Linked DNA regions of Rhinolophus ferrumequinum. The protein of the gene in region 3 interacts with the protein of the main gene of each other region in a pairwise test. Links are inferred from orthologs where the notes say so. Each region holds a gene or a part of one and is shown on either strand. Other genes may lie near its edges.

The links.
Region 1: the proteins of RPP30 (region 3) and RPP14 interact in binary tests that used the Homo sapiens proteins (3 or more experiments, as listed by UniProt). The link is inferred for Rhinolophus ferrumequinum from reciprocal best matches to the Homo sapiens genes RPP30 and RPP14.
Region 2: the proteins of RPP30 (region 3) and HMG20A interact in binary tests that used the Homo sapiens proteins (3 or more experiments, as listed by UniProt). The two-hybrid records come from large-scale screens. The link is inferred for Rhinolophus ferrumequinum from reciprocal best matches to the Homo sapiens genes RPP30 and HMG20A.

Annotation. Positions count from the first base shown.
Region 1 is NC_046300.1:52,911,125-52,919,006, forward strand, and holds the start of RPP14 (ribonuclease P protein subunit p14), read left to right. Parts: upstream 1-4,867; 5' UTR 4,868-5,001; exon of another isoform or gene 5,002-5,134; intron 5,135-5,140; exon of another isoform or gene 5,141-5,331; intron 5,332-7,753; 5' UTR 7,754-7,764; coding exon 7,765-7,850; intron 7,851-7,882. UniProt on the Homo sapiens protein: Component of ribonuclease P, a ribonucleoprotein complex that generates mature tRNA molecules by cleaving their 5'-ends.
Region 2 is NC_046289.1:100,470,070-100,478,038, forward strand, and holds the start of HMG20A (high mobility group protein 20A), read right to left. Parts: upstream 3,073-7,969; 5' UTR 2,847-3,072; coding exon 2,761-2,846; intron 1-2,760. UniProt on the Homo sapiens protein: Plays a role in neuronal differentiation as chromatin-associated protein. Acts as inhibitor of HMG20B. Overcomes the repressive effects of the neuronal silencer REST and induces the activation of neuronal-specific genes.
Region 3 is NC_046299.1:30,934,780-30,942,206, forward strand, and holds the start of RPP30 (ribonuclease P protein subunit p30), read right to left. Parts: upstream 3,032-7,427; 5' UTR 3,004-3,031; coding exon 2,922-3,003; intron 321-2,921; coding exon 265-320; intron 1-264. UniProt on the Homo sapiens protein: Component of ribonuclease P, a ribonucleoprotein complex that generates mature tRNA molecules by cleaving their 5'-ends. Also a component of the MRP ribonuclease complex, which cleaves pre-rRNA sequences.

The DNA.
Region 1 (7,882 bases), on a different chromosome or scaffold from region 3:
AGGAGAGGATCTCTGAATTTTAAGAAAGGATCTTGGGCCCCTCCAAAAACAGCTGCTTAAGTACAGGTGGTTATCTCCTCTCCAAATTCTCCTTTCCTGGGGTCCTGGGGCCTCTTTAAGGGAGAGGTTTCTAACTTCACTTCAGAGGAAAGGCTCCTCCACTACTTAAGTAAGTACCTTTCAAAAATGCTGGATGAAACGAAGTTAAATAGCCCAGTTCCATCTCTAGCCCCAACACAAGCAGGAGAATGACTGCAGGAGCAAAAAACGTCCTCAGAAGGCAGCTAGGGAGGGGGCTGGAAGCGGGGACCAGGCTATCCTGAGGATGCTTTGGACATAAGAGTCTGGGCAAGAGCTGCTGGTCGTTTTTACAATTGACTGGTGAGCTGCCCCCAGAGTCCCTGCCCATAGTGGGTGCTGCTGATGTTCTTCCCAGGTCCCTTTACTGACTCCTGCACCCAACCCCCACCTCTGCGGGTGTTGGCTGCAGAGGGCTCACAGCTGCCCTTTCCCCCAGAAGAACCACCCTCAGATGACTGGAGATACCTGAGAGATATGCCACATTCACTTCCTCTCACCTGCTATGGTTGCCAGATAAAATACAGGACGCCCAGCTAAATTTAATTGCAGATAAATGAGTACCTTTTTAGTGTAAGGCTATCCCATTCATCGTTTATCTGAAACTCTAATTTAACTGGGCAATCTGTATCTTTTTTTTCTTCTAAATCTGGCAACCCTATAGCTGGCAGTCAATGACTGACTGTGGGGGGGAAGGGGTGTTGCGCATGAAGGCTTGGCCTCCTTGCCTCCAAGGCTGGAAGCTTTCTGGTATCATTTATGCTCTAGGGCTCCCCTGCAGGATTAGGCTAAAGCTAGACTGCAGCTGAACTCATTTGCTTAGCTTCTTCCCCTACCCCATCCTGTTTCCTTCTTCCCTTAAGGGTTTCACACAAAATAGCTGTCCCCAAAAAATAACTTCCATGGAGATCCCTGTCTCAGGTTTGGCTTCTAGGGCCTCGGACGCACTGGCTGCTTTTCAAAGCTTCCCGTTTGGTGATAATGCTCCGGGTTGCCTCAAAAGAGCAGCTCCCAGCCTTGCGTTCACATGGGAAGGATGGAATACAGCATTTTAGGCTCTAGGGCCTCTCACCGCCTTAGACAAATGACTTATCTTCTAGAGCTACTTTTCCTCATCTGTGAAAGGCAATAATAATAGTGACATTGCAGGGTAGATGGGATAATGTGAGCAAACTGTCTAGCACTTGGCCGGTCTCCCTAAATGGAAACAACAGCTGCAGTTTCATAGCCTTTAATGTCTGATCATTTTCACTTCCTTTGTCCTATCTTCACAGGCTGCTGACATAAATGGATACAATTCCCGTGTGATTGATGGAGAATTGTGGCTGTGAATGTTAAGGGACTGTCATCCTACTCGGGCTTCTCTCTTGCCTTTTTCCCCCAAATTGTGAACGCTCCTCAACTTTGAGCAAAATCCATTTGGCACCAGTTCACAAGGCAGGGAGGGGAGCTGACAACAGCCACGCGGGTGGAAGTATGGACTCATCACTTTCTTGACTGCCATAGCTTCCAGATGCATAAAAAACTGATGCAGGTGATGTTGGATCTGAAAGCAGTTTCTGAGTGTGGGCCGGGATCGTGTCGCGTGAAGCCGAAGAATGGAAATACGGACCAGGGAGAAGCAAAAAGTTTTAAAAAGAGGATAGTTTATTAGAGGCAGGAGAAGAGGTTGCAGCTCCGGAGTGGGAGGGGGGTCCCGAATGGGGAGTGCCCCATGACTGAGGCAAAAGTTCTTACTTTTATACCGTCCCTTGCCTGCTTGGGGAAGGGGAGCTGTTTGAAGAAGGGAACTGGCGCCTTCTAATGAAATTCGTCTACCAGGTTTGTTCTGCTTACCCATCCTAAAGGAATCAGCAAAGTAATCCACTCTTATCTATCAGATCTGCTCCATTTGTCAGGCCAAAAGGAATTTTATGATTAACCTCAGGGCCTTGTTACATTATGTCCTAGAGCAAAGGAGTGATTTTAAAACCTGAAGTTTTAGGATATGGCTGTCTTTTGTTTATTCCACCAGGGACCTCCCTGTCAACCTAGGGACATGCTAACTTTCCTGTATCAATACGAGCAGATCCTTCCCAACAACTTTGCTCTGAAATGTCAGATACAGAGAGTATCCAGAATGGCCCCGTTTGAGCCAACTGACTTCACCCAATGCAATGCTGGGCAACTTTTATAACGACTGAGGCAGTCTTGTGTATTTTGATTTGGAATAATATTAAGATACCTTGTTAAGAAGGGAAAGCACCCCCTACCATATCTCTGGGGAGACACTTAAGAAATTCATACTAGTTGTTGCTCATGGGGAAGGGGTGGGAAGGAGACTTACTCTTCATTGCTTATCCCTTTATACCATTTGAAATGTATGCCGAAAGCCTCAAGTATCTACTCAAAAAATAAAATTGAATGGAAAAACAAAGGTCAACCAACTATTTTATCCCAAACTCTGACAGCACTAAGAGGATTCAGGCGGTGTGAAAGGCACTTCATTTTCAGGGTTTGGTTCAGGAGAGTGAAAATTATTCAAGTTCTTTGAAGTCCAAAATATAAAGTGTGATCAAAACATATGGTGAATATTTGTTTATTTATGTATTCATGTTTACTTATTTATTTTTTTAAGGAGGACACAGCTCACAGTGGCCCATGCAAGGATCGAACTGGCAACGCTGGTGTTACCAGCACCACGCTCTAACCAACTAAGCTATCTGATCACCCCACGGTGAATGTTTAAATTTAAAAAAATTATTACAGTAAAAGACACATTGCCATTAATCCCCCGCAAAATACTCCCCCTCACTTCGAACACACTTATCCCATCATTCTTGCCACTTTCTGAAGCAGTTCTGGAATTCTTCTTTCGTGTCTTTAGTTGCACTGTCATGGCAGCCTCAAGGTCCTGAATCGATTCAAAACGTTTACCTTTCATGGTCATTTTGACTTTGGGGAAGAGCCAGAAGTCACACAGTGCCAGATTCGGTGAATAAGATGGATGAGGACACACCGTACTGTTTTTATTTGACAGAAATTGCCCTACCAGAAGCAATGTGTGACACGGCGCCTTTCCGATGTGATCAAAACATATGGTGACTGCTGCTGTCAAATGCCATCCAACGGAAAGGCAGGGATCTTCAATACAGGAAATGGTGCGTCGCACCTTAGTAACAGTGGGACGTTTCAACTTGTTCCCTGCAGTCGGGCGTGAGCTACAGTTCAGAGATGTTTTAAAGTGTGCCATACATCATTCTCCATCATGACAATGCTCCATGTCACACATCATTTCTGGCATATGACAATTTCTGTCAAATAAAAATATACGGTGTGTCCTCATCCATCTTATCCACCGAATCTGGCACTGTGCGACTTCTGGTTCTTGCCCGGCATCAAAATGCCTCAGGACATCAAAGCAGCCACGAAAGCGCAACTAAAGACACTCATGAAAGAGGACTTCCAGAACTGCTTCAGAAAGTGGCAAGAACGATGGGTTTGAAGCGAGGGCGGGGGGAGGGTAATAGCAATGTGTCTTTTACTGTAATAATTTTTTTTTATTTAAACATTTGCCGTATTGTTTGATTACACCTCATACAGGAGCTGCGTTGGTTTTGATGGGCTGCAGCCTGGCAGGATGGATTTGCCAGGCAGCTGATTTAGGCAACTCTCTTCCATTCCAGAGTGTTGCCGGGTGCCAGATACTTTACACCACTTTTTTTGCCTCACAACTCTGAGGTAGATGCTATTCATCTCTCCATGTGATAGATGATGAATCTGAAGCTAATTTTGGCAGCATCTGAAACCCATGCTTTTTTGAGAAAGAAAATGCCACTGTTTGTGGGGTCTGTTTTGATTTCCTCAACCTCTCCTGAAATCTGGAACAAGTCCTGTCTCCTCTGAGGGGCAGTGGTAAGCCAGTGGAGACACGGGCCCATCCCCACGGTGCTTACATTCGTTCTGGCAGCCCCAGCCACTCTCCCAAATACTCCCTGCCTCATCCCACACGATCGGTGGTAATACCATGCTGCAGTGTGGAGAACACCATCTGGAGTCAGACGGCCCACTTTACAATGACACACTTACCGTTGTGTGATCTTGGGCAAGGCACTGAGCCTCTTTTGCCTGTTTCCACCTCTGTAAAATGGGGATGATCACAAGGATAGCTACATTAGGATAGTGTGAGCGCTCCGTGAGGTAACATATATAAAGCTCTTTGCATAGTGCCTGGCACAAAGTACGCACTTGATAAATACTAGCTGTTATTATTGTTATTATTAAATACAAGAGCTGTTTCATGAGTACAGAAGCCTTTCTGTTCTCCGCTGAATCCTCAGTATCTAGCACATACAAGGAGCTCGGCAAGTACTTAATGAATAAATGCGTAGATGAAATTTGGCTTACATTTGTAAATGGGACCATCTGGGTCTTTTTTGTCAACTCCAGCCGACCGAACACCTACTATGTGCTGTCAGCCACGAGAGACATTGAGAGCAGGTCGTGTCCTTGGTGAGTAATGACATAGATGCCCAGCAGAAGAGATGCTCGATATAAATTTACTGAATGAACGACTGCATGGATAAATGAATGACTATGAAGCAAGCTTCCTGGGAAAATAAACAGGCCCTGAGTCCCGTACCCCATGCAGACATTTGCACACGCGGTTTTCTCCGGAGTGGGCACCAGAGGGTACTGAGCTCGGCAGGCCCCGGCTCCTGAGAAGGACTCACTCTTGGGTCCTTAGGAGGACTCCTCGCGGTGACGTCACATCCGCGCCTAGCCGCCACGCATCCGGGGGGCGGGCAGACTAAAGCCGAACGTGAACCTCCCCGGAGTTTCCCGGACTCAGGCTCAAGCCTCTGCAGGGGAGCTCCAGGCCTTGGCGGATTCTCGCAGTGAACAGGAGTCAGGGAGGCGTCAGCGCAGTCCCGCGAAGAACGGGTAGGCGGAAGCCCATAGCAGAGCGGCTGTTTTCCGGGACTGGGCTTAGTCGGCCGGCGGGTGACGCAGGCCGCGCGGCCTAGGCCGCATGCGCAAGACGAGAGTGACGGCGGGCGGCGCAGGGTGGCCTGAGGTAGGTTTCCGCTTCCGCGGAGGACCCGGCGGCTGGAAGGCGAGGCCCGGCCGCGGTCCTTCCCAGGCCTCTGTACCAGGCGGTCGCGGAAGCAGAGCGTGGCTGTGACAATGGTGCTGAGCGCATGCTCTCGGCGCCAGCTGGACGCCAAATGGACGTTAATCGAAAAAAGTTGAAAACGACTTAAGTGCGCAACAGTAGGGGATTTAGCTTTTTTATTTTTAACGTCATTGATTTAGTCCAAAATTTACATATGGAGTGCTTACTATGTGCGATGCACTGTTTTAGGTTCTTGGGAAACAGTGAACAAGACAGATCCCAGTTTCTTGTGGAGTGTACATCTGTTGGGATGGGGAGTACAAACAAATGAAATTACGTAGTTATATTAGAAGGTGGTGCGTGCTGTGAGAAGAGTAAAGTAGGAGCATGGTGGGAGGGGGTGCCGTATCAGATAGACACTGGATCAAATCGAGGGGTCAGATTGGAGCGACGCCGTGAAGGAGGCAAGGGAGTGAGCCATGTGGCTGGCTGGCTACCTGGTGCAAGAATGTTCCAGCACGCAGAGAAGCTGGGAGCGAGGCCCAGAGGCGAGAGGGAAACTGCAGTGTGAGGAAGAGCTAGGAGGCCTGTGTGGGGAAATGGCAGGACACGAGGTGCAGATCAGGTAGGGCCTTGCAGGCAGGCGGCTGTAAGGACTTGAGCTTTACTCTGAGGGAAACGGCAACCATTGCAAGGTTTTGAGTAGAGGAATGACGTGACTCGAATAGGTTTTAATAGGCTCACGATGGCTGTAGTAGAGGCTAGTTAGAGGAGGGAAGCAGGGAGAGCAGTTACTAACGGATGAAGTAAAGTGTGTCTGTAGCCATTTAAAAGGCTGATTTCAAAGGTGACGACGGCAATGACTATATAGAAGTGCCCACATTTTTGTGGTGAGCCTGGTGAATATGCCAGGCTGTAGGAAGGGCTTCCCAGGCATCCGTCTTTTTAAGTCTCAGGACAGCCCGCAGAGGGCAGTGCTCTCATTGACCTTGAGGCTCAGGCTTGTCCAGCGAGAGGTGATTGCTCAACACTTGCTCCTTAAGTCTGAGTGTGTGTGGGGGTGAGAAACACAACAAAATTGACCATTTTTTTAAATGTACAATTTCTTGGCATTAAGTACACATATTGTGCAAGTATCACCACTATCCATTTCCAGAATACTCTGTAAATCTTCATTGTTACTGGCATCCTAAACCCCAGGCCTAATCTCATTCTCCTACCTCAGGCAGCCAATTCTGGCAAGTTAGTCGGTAACACTTAAAAAACACCTATCATGTGCCAGGCAATGAATGAAATGATTGAGTCCTGTTCTCCCTGCCATTCTAGTCACAGGAGACTAGTGGTTGGTAACCATTGCCGCAGTCCTGAAACCAAAGATGCTCTTGAACGTACAGGCCTAACACCTCTGTCATTCAGTCATGTATTCAGTAAGTTGGTCGAATGCCTGCTCTGTGCCAGACACAGTAAATATTCACGTTTGTTGAATGGCTGGCTGTAGTTCTTTTACCCTGACTTCTCATTTTCTCTGGTGGTCACTATCTAGGAGTGGTCGGAACTGGCCTGAACCAGAGGATTTTGCAAATGCTGGTCTATAGCGATGTGACCTTGGATAAGTCCCTTTCCTTGGTAGTGCCTCAGTTTCCTGGTTCCTATGTGGGGGGACTAGGTATTAAATAGACAATGTTAAGAGATTGCATAACAAGGGAACCTAACAGAACAGAGTGCCAAAGAAGGCTCCCCTGAAGAGGTGAAAGTCCTGGAAGAAATGAACTGTAAGCTAAAATTCGCAGGATGAGGAGGCACTATGGAAAGGGAGAGTAAAGTGGGAATGGAGCCAAGGACAGGGATTCTCTACAGGGGGAGCAGCGTGTTCTGAGTTCTTGAAAGTTGCAGATCTGTTAGAAATGGCATGGAGTGCCCATCCCAGGAATTCCTCGCCCCAAACCCGTTGCTGTTTAAGCTCAGTCTTTCATGGGGCTGCCACATAGCCCTCTGTTGACCTGGCCTGATGGAAAGAACTTGCAGATCCAGTCAGCAGAACTGCTACCCCTCGTTCTGTTCATGTTCTGTGTTGGCTGAGAGTAAACAAGAAGAGGGCCTTCAGATCCCAGATTTACTCCTTTATGTTTTTACTTTTTTGGATTAAGAGGCATCATACCAGAGGGTCATGAAGGCGCTAGGAGTGGTTGGAATCTTTGTTCCCTTGCGCAGGTGTTCCTTATCTTTGCCAAGCTTCAATGTCCTCCTCTCAAAGATGGAAATAATAATAGCTTTTATCTCATAGGATCATTTTGAAGACATGACCTAAGGCATGTAAAGCATTTAGCACAGAGCTGGGTACTCAGTAGGGGAAAATGTTCGGTGGGGTTATGTTATTAGAATTTAAATAATACACTTGTCTGGCATATATGAAATATAGAAACTTCCTTTGTGTCTGTATGGGCAACCTTAGTTTGACCAGAATTAAATGAGTTACAGTCCTTAGGAGTTCTTTAAAAAATCAAATAGGTCGAATTCTCATTAACAAAGTGAAAAGTAGCTTGTACCTTGTTAATTTCTAACCCTCTTGACACAACGTAGGTGTAATCAGCATGGAAATGATGCCAGCCCCAGCTGCCACATATGAAAGAATAGTTTACAAAAATCCCTCTGAGCACCACTACATGAAAGTCTGCCTGTAAGTTCAGTCTCCTAAATTCTATTTTTGAT
Region 2 (7,969 bases), on a different chromosome or scaffold from region 3:
TTTGGAAATGAGAGTAAACTCCAATAGAACACGGGTATTTGTCTGTGTTCACTGATGCACTCCAAGTCCCTAATACAGTGATTAGCACACAGTAGGCCCACAGTAAACTTTTGTTGAAATCACAAAAAGTCATGTAAGAGGTATTCTCATTTGAACACTCTTGAAGGCCCTGAAGTACAGGTAAAGATTGCAGAGTAATAAGTTTAAAAACCATTCAAAAACCATTCAAGTTATTAGGAGACTCTCTTTAACACTTGACCTCATGGCAAAATCTACTAAAACAACACACGAAAAAGTTATAGTTGTAAAACATTAGTATGATTTTACAAAAAAAGGTAGACAAAAGAATGAAAAGACACTTTTGCATTATATATGGTGTCTAGTGTTTTGTGGCTAATCAAATGTCACTGAGATGAAATACAGAATTTTGACTTACTGCTTTAATATTTCAAACCTCTGTGAACAGTGTATCCAAATGACTGCTTCTGGTTATCTAATCTAAACACTCTAAAAATGGACAAGTTCTTTATTATAGATGGCAACTAATAGAATGAAAATCTCAAATTCATTAACTCAAAGATGTAACAAGAGCACACTTACAAAAGCATTTTTCTAACTTTGATAGTATGGTTCTATTAGAACATGCAAAGAAAACTGCAACAAAAAGCATTAAGAAAAAAAAAAAAAGCCTTTGGGAGATAGCAATCCTCTTCACAGAAACACTTTTAGAGAGAATTAAAAGCAGGTTCGCAGGTTCCATGACTTTCCCTTTATTTTTCACAAGCTTTTCTAGTATTTCTTTTTGGATGGAACCAATGAATAACTACCACTTATCACAAAACATCCTTTCTCAGATATGTGCTTTATATATTGCAATCTTCTGAACAGTTTTTCAAGCTGCTCAAGTCTTTCAACCCCAGCAATTTTTCTTATTTCTATTACACTGCACTTATTCCATGAAACAGCACAGAAACCAATTTAATCAACTTTGCTTTCTTTTTTAAAAAACTTCTTTGCTTTCCGAAGTTTCCAAAAGGCAATACTACTATCTCAATCAATATTTTAACGATGTTTTCTCTTTTTCATTTAGTTCCAATCTTTACTTACTTCAGTAATTCCTAATACTATAGTTTAACAGTTTAATTTGTCAGAATGACCATATCATATTTTCCTCTATATTACAGTAATATAGAAGACAGTGAACACCTTCTCTCTAAGCAATTAATTAATACTTGAGGCAGTCTACATGTCTGTAACCTTATAATGACAACAGACATTTTGTCTTGCCTTTTCAACTACTGCAGAAATGTGGTAGTCTTTAAAAAGATAACTCATTGATTTTTAGGGTCTTAGATCTTTCTTGTCTACAGAAGGTTAAAACATATTTTTTCCCTTTATTGTAACATGTAATTTAAAACATTTTCTAATAAACTCTAAACAAAGTAACTTTTTAAAAGAACTAGAATTAAAATAATTGCAAATTCTGAGGACAGATTAGGTAACAATCTCAAAAGAAAAAAATACACTGGCTTCATTCTTTTAAAAATCCTTGAAGAACATCACAGTTCACTTGATATTCTAAAATTGCTACAGTTGTTGAGATTTCGTAATTTCCAAATAGACTGATTCCTTCGTTATACATCCACCCACCCCAAGTATTGTGGTACTTGAAAACAGAAGCCAAGAAATAAAAATTGTTGAGTGTTCATTCCACTTCACATATAGTTACTTATAAACCATTGATAATATAGGAAACAGAAATTTTTTTCTTAATCATCTTTTGTCCTTTGTGAACCAAATTCCCCCCGCCCCCCACTTAAAATCTGGGCTGAATCTCCTGATTCTTGCACCATGCTTTAAAACCCCAAAGAACAAATAGATACGGCTGTTGAACTGATCTGAATTTAATTAAATCACAAAGGGGGAAAATGTATTCGGCTAACTTTCACAAATGCTACATGTTACAATTATGATTATTTTTAAGTCTGAGGAAGTTGTTCTCAGGCACAGGGCAAACCCTGTAGTCCAAAATCAACAGGTTTAGGAAATTTAAGATACCATATCAATTAAGGCAACACCAAGTATTTGAGTACTTCAGTATGATACTTTCACTCCGGTAAGGTGAACATGCCTCATAATTTATGTAAAATGTCGCGTTCTGTAGAGTTCCTGTGTCATGTCAAGGCAGAGAACACTAAACCTGTCGGTGAAGGTTGGACGTGAGTCGGGGAGCAGAGCTGGACAATTACGAGTTACACAAGAAAGTACAGCATGTCATTTCGCAAAGAGGAGGAGAGAATTTTAACAAATGGTTTCTATTCTTTGGCGAGCGCATTAAGAAAATTTTGTCGGTGAGAAAATTTTCCATCTTACACATTGAAACAAAATTCACATAAATTCTTACTGGAGGCTGGAGATGAGCATAAATTGGTGGAATAATCTAACTTTTCACATAAAACACAATTCCAAACCTTTAAAATACGTGCTGTACTGGCAACAAGCACCACCTTTTCAAGACCTCGCCGGCACAGGAAGTGTGGGAGGGACACCCCCAAATCATCCCCCTACCCCACAGGAAGTGAGTTGTTTCCCCTCCCCCAGGACGGCCTTCTTCCCCTCCCCCAACCGGAAGTGAGGCGCCCCCATTCAGTCGGCCTCAACCCGAGACAAACCAATTAACAACAGCAAAAGAGCGATGGTCTTCAAGGGGTGAAGGGCACCCCCACTGTGGCCACCCCCAAGCTCGCCTTGCTTACTGACCTGCTGACGATAGGGGCAGGCAGGGGCCTGGGGCTAAAGAAAGTCCCTGCACAGAGGACAATTCTCTGAGCCCCTCTCAATCGCATTCACTCTTCTCACTCCGTCGTCTCGCAGCTTGACAAAAAATTCCTCCGCAATACTTTATTATGATATCCTTCTTTCTTTACGTAATTGTTTAACTATCTTCCCATAGGCAACTTCTCTCATCGCAGTAACATTTAAAATTGTTTCGGTAAGGAGAAAAATGAAATACTATTCCCAATACCTTCCGAAAAATGAAGGGATTATTTTGTTCAAAAGCGGCGAAGGACTACGTGACTACGCAAAGCGAGACTTATTTTCGCGAAGGTTTCTGGGAAGTGTAGTTTTTAAGAATTGCTAAGGTCTGCAGTAAGTATTGTAGCTTAAATTGGCAATTACTATCGAATGGAGTCCTTGAAAACACAAGTTTCGTGTTCGACGCAGGCTGACCTAGGAGGCTCCGGCACCAAATGGGCCAATACTTTGTTTCCCTTTTCCTCTAGAACTTACTTGAACCGAAATTTCCCTTCATGCCGGCCCGAGGTTCTGGTCGTCCCGCCCTCCTCCTTTGGTCACACTCTCCTTAGCCAATCAGAAGCCCTCTAGGTCTCATTCTATTGGGGTAGGAACACGAGAAGGCGGGGCCTCACGGTGATACCTCCTGAGGGACGGAGGCGCGACAGGGCAGAGAGGGTCGAGGGCTTGTGCGCGCGTGCGGGCTCGCTCCTCAAGGAGCGCGGCGGCGAGTGCGCGCGCGGAGGGCGGTGCGCGGGGCTGGGAGGAGGCGGGCGGGCTGGCTGGTGGGCTGGGCGGGCGGCCGGGAGCGCGCGGTGGACTCGGCGGCGTCGAGTAGTTAGTTGTTGTTAGTGTCAGTTGGTCGGCGGCGGTGGCCGCGGTGAGCAGGAAGGGGACCGGCCGGCTGGCGATGGTGGTCACCGCGGTGGCGTGTGCGCCCCTCAGGTAACGGGGGCAAGGCTGTCCGCGTCCCCTTCGTCCCCTTCTCCTCTCGCGCCGGCTTGCGGAACCAGGGTCGCCGCGAGGTGAGGGCGCTAACTGGGGGGAATCCGGGCGGGGCAGCGCGGGGTCTGGGGAGCGCCGCCGCGGGGGCTCGGGCGGCGGCCCCGGCGCGGGCTCTGCGGCCCCGGCCAACCCTGCGCCCCCCCGCCCCTGTGCCCCCGGGGCCCGCCGGCACCGCGCGCCCCCTCGCGCCCCTTCCTGCGGCGGTGGCGGCAGCGGCGGCGGCCCCGGTAGCTCGGCGCCCCCCAGAGGAGGGAAAGTTGGGATCTGGCGGCGACGGACGTCTCCGGGCGCGGCTGGGAGCCTGGTGGGGAAAGTGAAGGCTGGATGGGGGAGCTGGCCGGCGGGAGCTTGGGGCAGGAAGGGCTCCCGTCCTCTTGCTAAGTTCGCATGGACGTCTCGCCCCGATCCCCGGAGCACCCGGCGCAGCCTAGCCAGCAGCGCCTGGACGAAACCGGTGGCTCTTTGCCTGCTCACTTGGGGCTGCGGTTTGTGAGCCCCCTAACTAACGTGCGGCTTTGCTTGGTTGGTCGGTTTGTTTCTCCTTTGCCCTTTGACTCATCCCGTTCTTGCAACTTTTCTTACCTCCCGCGATGGGGACTTGCGGTCTGAACCCCCTTCCCACCTCCCTCCCCGTCGCCTGCACCACCCGTCTGAGAGTTGGATTTCGTGTTTCGTCCTTTGGTGACGTTAAAGACTGCTGAGAGCAACAGGAAAGAGGAGCCCTCCCACCTTTAAATGTTACTTTCTTGCAATCCGTTATTATTTTTAAGACCCAAGTTTAGGAATTTGAGAGCTGTGGAATGGAGTTGTTGGAAGGCTGGCGTTTTGACGAATTAAAGGAAAACTAGATTTCATCTTTATTGGCCTTGCTATAGGAAGCCTAATACATTTTCCTTCTGCCTCTGTTAAATATGGTAAGAGTATACGTTAAATTACATATTTGGAGACCAACATACAAGGCTATTTTTTAGGTCATTAGATGATGTATGTCAACAGCTTTTCACCCGAATTGGGATGGCCTTGAGGATTCTGTTTTGGGGCCTACCTACTGATTTTTGTCTACCAAAGTAAATGAAATGATGTAGTAATGTGTGTATTTGGCAAACCCATATTGCTCTCTGCGGTGTGGAAGTTTTACGTGAATTATCCACAGGGGTAAAACTTTCCATGTGCAATCTTGGATACCTGCTTCTTGATGGCTTCCGTAATCTCAGAACATTTCTAGACAGTGCAATTCACTGACTACCTTAATTATTTTCTGAAGTGCTTGGCACTTCTCTTTGGTGACTCGTTTAGTAAACTATAATGGCAAGTAGGGTACATTTTCATGGCTTCAAATATGGAGTTAGAGTCTCAGCCCAGAGATTAACAGTTAACAATGGAAGCAGAATTCATACCATTGCTAGTGAGTTTTGGCTATGACCAACTCACAAACTATGTGAAAAACAAACATCTTTCCATAGCTGTCAGAGGGGAAGAGGAGAGAATATTTTATCATGTCTTTATTTTGGAGACTCTAACATGGCTGTATTATGTGGGAAAAAATGTCAGATTATTTTCTTTAAGGATTTTTGATGTGTGGTCCTCCTCTCCATCCCTCTACCCTCCATTGAGGGGCTGACATTTATGCTTGGCTGGCTTCCAGGAAGCGAAGAAAAGTGTTTTGTTGAAAGGAAAAGATAAGATTGCTTTGAACTATTATACTATGACTATTCATTTTACCCAGTACAAAGAAATGTCCTTGATAATTTTTGTACCCCATTAACATGCTGTCAGAATTCATTTTTAAACATACCCCGAGGCCCATAAGGAAATAATGCCACTTCATAACTGTTCCTGACAATCACATTAAAAAGTTGTTCCTGGAATGTGTTATGCGTGTATTCCTATAAACATTTATCTTTGTATATTTATGGTAATGTAAATATTTAAGTCTGTGAGCTTAAAAACTTTGATTTGCTTATTTGCATACATGTTTTTCAACGTCTAGCAGTACCAACCATATTTGCCAAATAAGCATCAGCCATAAATTCATGCTCTGGCACATTTCATATAGTAACTCTTTGAAATTGCTCCATGGTGAAGCATCATGAGATTAGCATTTCTTCGTGAGAGAGATTTGTTGTTGTTGTTAACTGTAGTGACGTGCTATGTAAGTGGAACAGGTGCGGGGCTCTCGCTGTTTGTGTGGAAACCTGCCAGATCATACTCTTTTGTTGGATGGGTTGTTTAAGTAATTTAGAAACCAAACTGTGGCTCCTGGCATGCCAAGTGTGAGTTCATGGCTCCATATCATTGCTGCAAATACCTATTTTCACTGCAAGAGGCAAGTGTGTGTGATGAACTTTATTTTCTCATTGCTATTCTCTTTACAGTAATTCCTACTTCCCACCATCACCTGAGTCCTTTCATTACTGGAGAGCTCCTGGGAAAGTCGAGGCTCCTTCATTACTGGTTGTTTTCCTTGGGGAAATTCTAGTAACTTTCAGGCCAGGAATTGATAGTTCACATTTGTTTGACACATATTTCGAGTGCCTTTTAAGTGTTAGGCATGGTGGTAGGCCCTGAGTATATGTAGAATGATATCCCTTTTTGCAAGGAGCGTACAGTTTAAGAGAAGATAGCTGATAACCAATAATTACATTGTGATGTGTTGTAGGACAGGTATAAGCAGATTCTTATGGATGGAAGCACAGAGGAGCAAGGGTAGTTGACTAACTACCCACCAAGACTTAGGGTCTTGGTGGCACGAGAGTGTCCTGTAATACTTCTTAGTGGGTTACCTGAGCTAGTCTTCAAAAATTGGAGTTATCTAGGTTCAGAAAGAGGGAAAGGACAGTTTAGAACACCACTGTCCTGAAAAAATACAATACAAGCCACAAATGTAGCTCACGTTATTTAAAAATTTTCTACTAACATTAAAAAAGGAAAAAGAGAAATTAATTTTAAAGACATTTATTTAACCTGACATATCCAAAATATTATCATTTCAACATGTAATCAATATAAGAAAGTATTGAGGTATTTGATATTCACTTTAGTTTTATTTTTCATTTATAGTTGACATTCAGTATTATTTCACATTAGTTTCAGGTGTACAGCATAGTAGTTAGACAATTAATATAATTTACGAAGTGATCCCCTTGATTCGTGCTCACCTGGCACTATACTTAGTTATTAGAATATTACTGATTATATTCCTTATGCTGTACTTTACATTCCCGTGACTATTTTGTAACTACTAATTTGTACTTCTTAATCCCTTCACCTTTTTCACCCATGCTCCTTCCCCCTCCCATATGGCAACCATCAGTTTGTTCTCAGTGAGTCTTTTTTTATTTTGTTTGTTGATTTTGTTCTTTAGCGTCTACATATAAGTGAGCATATATGGTGTTTGCCTTAATTTGTCTGAATTATTTCACTTAGCATAATACCCTCTAGGTCCATCCATGTTGTCACCAATGGTAATATTTCATTCTTTTCTATGGCCGAGTAATGTTCTAGTGTATAAATGTATTATTACATCTTCTTTATCCAGTAGTCTGTCGATGGGCATTTAGGTTGCTTCCATATCTTGGCTACTGTAAATAATGCTGCATAGTACAAAGGAGTGCATATGTCTTTTCAAATTAGTGTTTTGGATTTCTTGGAATAACTACCCAGAAGTGGAATTGCTAGGTCACAAGATAGTTCTATTTTTAATTTTTTGAGGAAGCTCCATACTGTTTTCCGGTTTGGCTACACCAATTTGCAATCCCACCAATAGTGCATGAGGGTTTGCTTTTCTCTACATCCTGGCCAACATTTGTTTGTTGATTTTTTTGATGATAGCCATTCTGACAGGTGTGAGGTGATTTCATTGTGGTTTTCATTTGCATTTGCCTGATGATTAGTGACATTGAGCATCTTTTCATATGTCTGTTGGCCATTGTATGTCCTCTTTGGAAAAATGTCTGTTTCGGTCCTTTGCCCATTTTTTAATCGGATTGTTAGTTATTTTGGTGTTAAGTTGTATGAGTTCTTTACAATAATTTTGGATATTAACCCCTTATCGGATGCATCGTTGGTGAATATCTCCCATTCAGGAGGTTGTCTTTTTGTGTAATGGTTTCCTTCACTGTGCAAAAACTTTTTAGTTTGATGTAGTCCCATTTGTTTCTTTTTGCTT
Region 3 (7,427 bases):
CAGTCAATAACAATGCACTTTTTAACTTATTGAAAGTGACTTAATTAACATTAAATAACTTTAAGAATCCTCACATCACACACAAAAAAACTATCATTTGTACAAATATGCACCAGCTCAACATTATGTAAAATAAGAACAGTGCACAGAGAGTGCTCTTAAAAAGAAATGCAAATAAATATGCTCATCTGTAGCTTCCATATTACCAATATAAACATAAATAATTATAAAAACTAATTACTAACTTCAGAAATTGTACTTTACCTGTTTCTTTTCCTTAAATTCAACAATGTGATTGATGGCAACAACTGAATAGCCAACTGAAAAGAAAAATTGAACATTCTTGTTAAATATGACAACCTCTCTTTCCTATACACATAGGCCCATCCCAATTCTGGACGTCAAGACTAGGAGGAAGTTTGCAGAGTGACATGGGTATGGACTCTGTTGTCAGACTGCTTGCTTTCAAGTCTAAACATTACCACTTAGAAGTTTCAGGTTCTTCAAGTATCAAAATGGTGATAATAACGGAACTTATCAGATGCCTGGTATGAGAATTAAATGAGATAATACACTTGGGTGTTTTAGAACAGTGCCTGGCAAAAAGTTTTAAGGCTTTGTTTGACTTCTGTAATGTAGTATTAGCATGATACTAAACACCCTTCACTTTGTGTGTCTCCTTCCCAACCACCATTCTCTTTCAAGTTCCTTTTTTCATTTTCGTCCCATCAACTTTATACCTTTTCACCGTCACCTTTATTCTCATTCATTTCTTTTGCTTTTTACCCTCCCGACTTCCTTCAGAGGCCTTTCTCCTAAGGAGAAACAGAGTAATGACTCCCTGACACCACTGTCCACTTCCCCTTTCGAGCTACTCACCATCAAGACTGGGAACCCTTTGAGGCCAAGGTCTTGCTTTATTAACATCAACACAGATCACTGTTTTGTACACCATGACTACCAAAAATGTCAAAATCATGACTCCGATCTTTAAGCTATTTAAATAACGGGGGTGACAGGATATTAAAACATAATGTATATTAATGCCAAAATAGTGGTTCTTCCTCTCATCAGTTTGTCCAACTTCCTTCTTTTCTTCCTCACTCAAATATTTATTGGGTATTCATTACTTATCAGGCCCTGTGCTACATGTTGAGCATACAGAAAAACCAGAAGATAAGAGAAATTTGCCTGTACAGTACTTTGGGCTTCATCTTTCACTCACTCAGTCAAATCAACCAACCTGCACCTGACCCCCCGCCACCACCATTCTTCTTTACCATACTCCCAAGTCTTCTCTAAGCTTTTTTGTTATACACACTTGTATATAACACACTTGTATATAACTTATATATAACTTGTATATAACTCCCCCTTCTGGCCACTAAACAATGTCTCTACTGTTCTTCAGAAATATCAACTAGAATCAATTTCTCCACCAACTTTTCCTAGACTACCCATCTGGCATCTTAAGAGTACTTCCCCAATCAACCTGTGGTGACATTTTTATTTATATACCATATTTCTAAAGCTTATCATTGATTTGTTATATCATATCATAAACTAAGAACCAGGGCTCTGTCTTCATTATTCTTTGAAAATTTCCACTCACCAATTTCTACCTTTGACTTATAAGTTGGAGTGACTTTCTGTCATGTCATGACTTTCATTTAATTTTTAAAGAAACAGACTAGGTAACAACGTATATACACCTTAATGTATATTCTTCCACCACATTTTACATCGGGGCAATTTTCTAAACAAAATATTACAACTTTTGTGTATTTTGTAAAAGGTGTTCAGTTTATTAATTTATTCCATAAGCATTAACCGAGTAACTACCATGCCACAGGGCTGCTGAGTGACTGCTGAGCACAGGAAATAAATAAAAGAATAAATAGAAAGCCATGGCCCCTCTCTAAAGAAAATCATGATTCAGGCAGCAAGGGAATGGCATCAGGAAAAGCTTCATTGAGGAAGTAATACAAGAGAAATTAAATTACAAAATTGTTTTTTAAAGGAACCATCAAAGAATAGTAGGGCTAAACTACCCAGATCATCATGTCTACCCCGCTCCTTTCTACTTGTGCAAAGTATTCTTAGAGAGACAATGCTAATTCGTGGCTGCAATGGAAAGAGACCGTCAATTCCCTTGGGACACTTAACAAAGGGGACAAGAAGAAATGGTGTAATCCACTTTGCCAAGGAGTGGCTTTATCTAGCACCATCTATGAAGCGTATCATTACCAGCTCTCACAGAGCTGAGAACTGAGGAATGGATCTTACTGCAAAAACTTCTTTATGTTTAAACTTTTCTATCTCCAAATCGAAGGAAGAAAACAGCAGTCACAATTCCAGTAATTAAACAGGCTCTTATCTCTCAAGGATTCCACTTACCTTGGATTCAAATATGAGTACCATTCTAGCACTTTGGCCATGCTGCTTCCTTCGCCCCATCCTAGTACGTTCTCCCCTACCTACCCTCCCTCTAAATATTATTCCAACACTCGCACTCCCACGTCCCTCCCCGTTCTCTAAGCCCACACAGTACTCCCAGTCTGCACCAGCTTGCCGCATTTGCTCTGACACTGTCCTGAGAGGCAGAAAAGGGTGATATTAAAAGCACTGGGTGAGAGACTACACTTGGAAGCCCTGGCTTCTGCCATCCATCAATTGTGGGGACTTATGCAAATCCCCCCACCTTCTCAGGGAGGGCCCCAATTTCCTCAATTTGCAGGTAAGAAGGAGCTAGATTCGCCAACAGCTGACTTTGAGTTTCCAGCGCTCGGTATCCGAGCAACAACGCGATGGGCATCAGTTTCCAGGGACGTCCCAGAGACACGAACGAGGACCGGCCTGGCCGGGACACTCCCGAATGTAGCTGGGCAGGCACCACGATCCGCGAAACCGGGGCAACTCACCATGAGCGGCGTTCTCCACGAGACCACGCAGCGCCTTCAAGTCTGAACTCGCTCTCAGGTCCAAATCTGCAAATACCGCCATGCTTAAGTCACATGACCGCCCGTACGTCCGTTTGCGCCGGGGCTGGGCCTGCCTTGAGGCATGCTGGGAATTGTAGTTTACCTGAACGATAAGTCCCTCCCTTTAGTTGACTATTCAAGGTTCGCAGGCACTAGCCTCACTTTCAAGTACCAGCAAATATTAGTGTATTGAAACCAACAGCTTCACTTCAATCCTGTGTTGTCTTCTTTTGAATGAGAACGTTGTTTCTCACACCGGGGTTCAAATTTCCCACCATTCCCCCTATAAAATATTGTAGAAAGTGATTTCAAAATGCTTGTATACGGCATTCATTGAGCGCCTATCATGAACCAGACACTTTTACTAAGGTCTGGAAATGCTTTTCAAAAACTCATAAAGAACTCATTCTTCTTTCCTTCCCCTGAACTTCATTCTGTTGTTTAAAATGGGCTTATTGGAAAGAGGGGGAATCTGACCTGAAGACCTCAAAGGAGGAAAGAGGACTCCCCAAGAAAAGGAAAGCGTCTTCTTGCCCAATCAGAACTGGTGGTGATGTAGCATGCTGTTAGCCATCACACTTAACAACGTCTTCAACCACAATATGTCAGGGCTCTTCCTAGGATGAGCAGTTAGCTCCAACACTGGTTTAGCCAGAGATAGATTGGATAAGGGAGTTGCAAAATGGAAATGTTTTACAATTTTCCAGCTGAGAAATGTAGACGGTGGTGTCAACCAAAGTTCACTGCCACTAATCCAGTGCCAACAGGAGTCCCAATTTGGGGTGTGGTAAAGGAAAAACTTTACTCAGGTTTGCACTTGGGAAACACAGCACAGCCTCTGGAGGGAATAGAAAGTAGGATCCCCTGAGACAAAGGGGAGACCTATTTATCCAGAGAAAGTGTCCACTCTGGTCCCTGATTGGTCCATTTTCAAATGAGGAATCCAAATTTACACAGTTCTATCGGAATAGCATGGTCTGGTTTAGTCAGAATCATGCATTCTGATTGTTTGTATGGAGCAGTTCTGATTGGTCAGTAAAGATGCAAATGAGAATATAGCTGCAAGTTTCAGCCTGTTGGTTGAACTATGATACCAGGAACTCCTTTATAAGGATTGACTCAAATAGCAGGAACACAGTATAGGAGACTTGGCAACCCAGTCTCTTGCTTTTTCCTGAAATGCTGTGTGCGTGAAAGGCTTCTGTAAACAATGGTTGCCAGACTCTGATTATGAATTTGGGCCCAATTAACCACAAGGAGTCCGTTTTGACAGGTATATTCCTTCTCAGGGTCAACAGTGGTGTGGATCCCACACATTTAATATTTCCACATTTTTGGACTTCATATAAATGAACTCTCAAAGATTGATAAATCAATTCTCCAACAACATAAAATTGTAGAACTATAATTTGCTAAGTACTCACCCACATAGCTTATTCAAAGCAACTGTGAATTAAGTACTGTTGTTTTTTTTTTTTTAGCAATAAATACATTTTCCATTGGAGAAATCTAAGGCTTAGATAACAGTGATTGAACTATATGTGGTCCCAGGAGATGTGGTTCAGTTCTCACTTCGGATATGGTCTCTCCCAGGCAAAGCAAGCAGAAAGGAGAGTTGGAGGGTTGGAAAGGAGGAGGGAGAGAAGAGGAGGGAAAGGAAGAAAAGAATGGAGGGCTGGAGGAAAAGGAAAGAGGAAGTAGGGAAAGAGGACAGAGAGGAAGGAGTGGAAGAGGGAAGGAAAGAGTGAGAAGAGGGAAAAGATAAGACAGAATAGGGAACAAGGAAGAGGGGCTGATGCTGGCTTGGAGAGTAGTTGAGGCAGCAAGGATCTGAAGTTTGAAGAAGACCATGGAAATTTCTGACTAGAGAATAATAGTACTGTCTAACCACTCTAAGTACTTTGTTTCCATTATCTGATTTAATCCTCACAACCAGCAGATGAGAGGAATACTGTTGTTCCTATTATATCAAGAAGGAGTCCTGGGTTCAGAGAGGGTGATTCAAGTCATTGCTTCTTCCTTGGGAAACTTAGAAAGAGGGTGGGTTTGGCATTCAAAGCAAGCTTTGAGCCCTTCTCAGTCTCCCTAAGTCTTCTCTTTCTCGGGCTGGGACCTACAATAAAAGTCAGTGTGTGTTCAGTTAGTCTTTGGTCTTCACCTCTTTTAACTTGGTTTCCCTCTCTTGCGTGAGCTGAGAAACATGCCACCAGGCCCCTGTCCTCTGGCAGCTTAAGGCTGAGGTGGGGCAAGGCAAGAAAGTGAGGTACATAATTTGCACAGATGTGACAGGAGCATCTGGCAGGGTCTTCTCCCCCAGATTGAGGGGAGTTTAAGAGATTTGGAGAGGATAAAGGACAATTTCCTATAGGAAGTAATATTTGAATTAAATTTTAATGCATGAAATTGAAGAGCAATAAGATGTAGAGGTCTGGGGTGTATCCAGAATTGGTCCAAAGTAGGTGATACTCAGTCAAAAGTGGGAGAATTAATGATTGAACCTACATCAACACAATTATAGCACTGTTGGATGTATCCAGTTATCTAAACACATTCACTGAAAACACATTCGCCAAAAAATTCATTGAACTGTGCATGTTGTACACTCGCATGATACACCAGCTACTCAAACAGAACCCCCTTTCTTGTTTCCAATGATGAAGCACTTACAGGTACTCCTGGACAGGTCAAAAAAGATGCCCTTCCTCCAGGCAGACTTGCATTTGCCCCTATTCACCACATGCCTGGTAGGTTTGTGCAGTAAACCGCTGCCCAGTTTTCCCCCAGAGGCCCTGGTAAAGCATCCTAGAGGAGTTAATTGCTAACCCTAGAACTCTAATGGGACTTGACAGGACATCACCAATCCAGGAAGTCTCTCTCAATAATCCCTCCCTCCTCTTCTTGTCTTCCCCCAGAAACTCCCATTACTGGCCTGGTATCATGAGAATGTCCATTTTACGAGTTGGGGTAGTCTATCCCTGCTTGCAATGTTAGGTGTTTTGTTTTTTTTAAGTTCAATTAATATGAAAGTGAGCTATTTTTTGTATCTATGTTTCCATCAAAAGTTTGAAAATGAAAGACAGATGTTGAAGGCTTGTATATTATAAAAATCAGCAGTGTGAAAATAAAGAGTATTCTTATGTGTTTAAGATGTAATATATACCCATGACAAAAGAATACAACTTAAGAAGTCATTATGAAAGAAATCAAAGGAAGAATTATGACTGGTATACAGAAAAGATATTTGATGATAAACTTAACGAGTGGAAAGAAAAGGACTGAAATTGCAACAGGTTGACTTTTTAATGCAAGTAGAATAAATGATTGTATTAATCATGGTTCTCCAGAGAAACAGAACCATATATATACGTATATATACATACGTATATACATATATATACACACATACATACATACATATGTGTGTGTGATATGTGTGTGTGTGTGTGTATATATATATATATATGTATATATATATATATATATATATATATATATATATATATATGAATTGGCTTACATGACTATGGAGGCTGACAAGTTCCAAATCAGCTGGCAAGCTGTGGGCCCAGGAGAGCTGATGGTGTAGTTTAAGTACGAAAGCAGGCAGGTTCAAGATGCAGGAAGAGCTGATATTTCACTTTGAGTCCAATGACAGGAAAAAGCCATTGTCCCAATTTGAAAGCAGGCAGGCAGGCAGGAGGAATCCTGCTTTATTCGAAGAAAGGTCAGCCCTTTTGTTTTATTCAGGCCTTCAACAGATTGGATGACGTCCACCTATATTAGGGAGGTTAACATGCTTTACTCAGTTTACTATTTCAAATACTAATCTCATCCAGGAGAAACATCATACATACACCCAGAATAATGTTTAACCAAATATCTGGGTACCCCACGGCCCCGTCAAGATGACAGGTAAAATTAACCATCACGGTGATGCTGCCTTGAAATTGTTGCATATTAAGTGGAAAAAAAATTGCTCAGAGAACTAAAACTTTTTATTGAAGGCAAGTTTACAAATAATATTTAGTGAAGGCAAAAGATAGAACAGGTCCTAAACAGAAACTAGCATTTGCAAATGTAATAACTATAAATTCTATTGCTCACTATGTTGGAGATATAGCTAGGAATTTGCAGCATAAATTGCATGCAGAAATTATTTCTGGTATTTTCTATGGAAGCTGATAAGCAAGAAGATTTATAAAAGCTATTTTAATCGTTGAGAGTTTTGACTTGCCTAAATATCTTTTGGAAATGGTGCACAAAATAGACACACCATTAGGAAGTGGCTAATTTTTGTATATGGAGAATTTTGAGAATTTTAAAGTAGACTTGTCAGAATTGGTAACCATAACTAACACTGACTCCTGCAGGGGTCAGTGTTAACATCAAACTTATGCAACATAAGCACAATGTGACAAGATTTTGCCAACACACCAAATTTTAGCC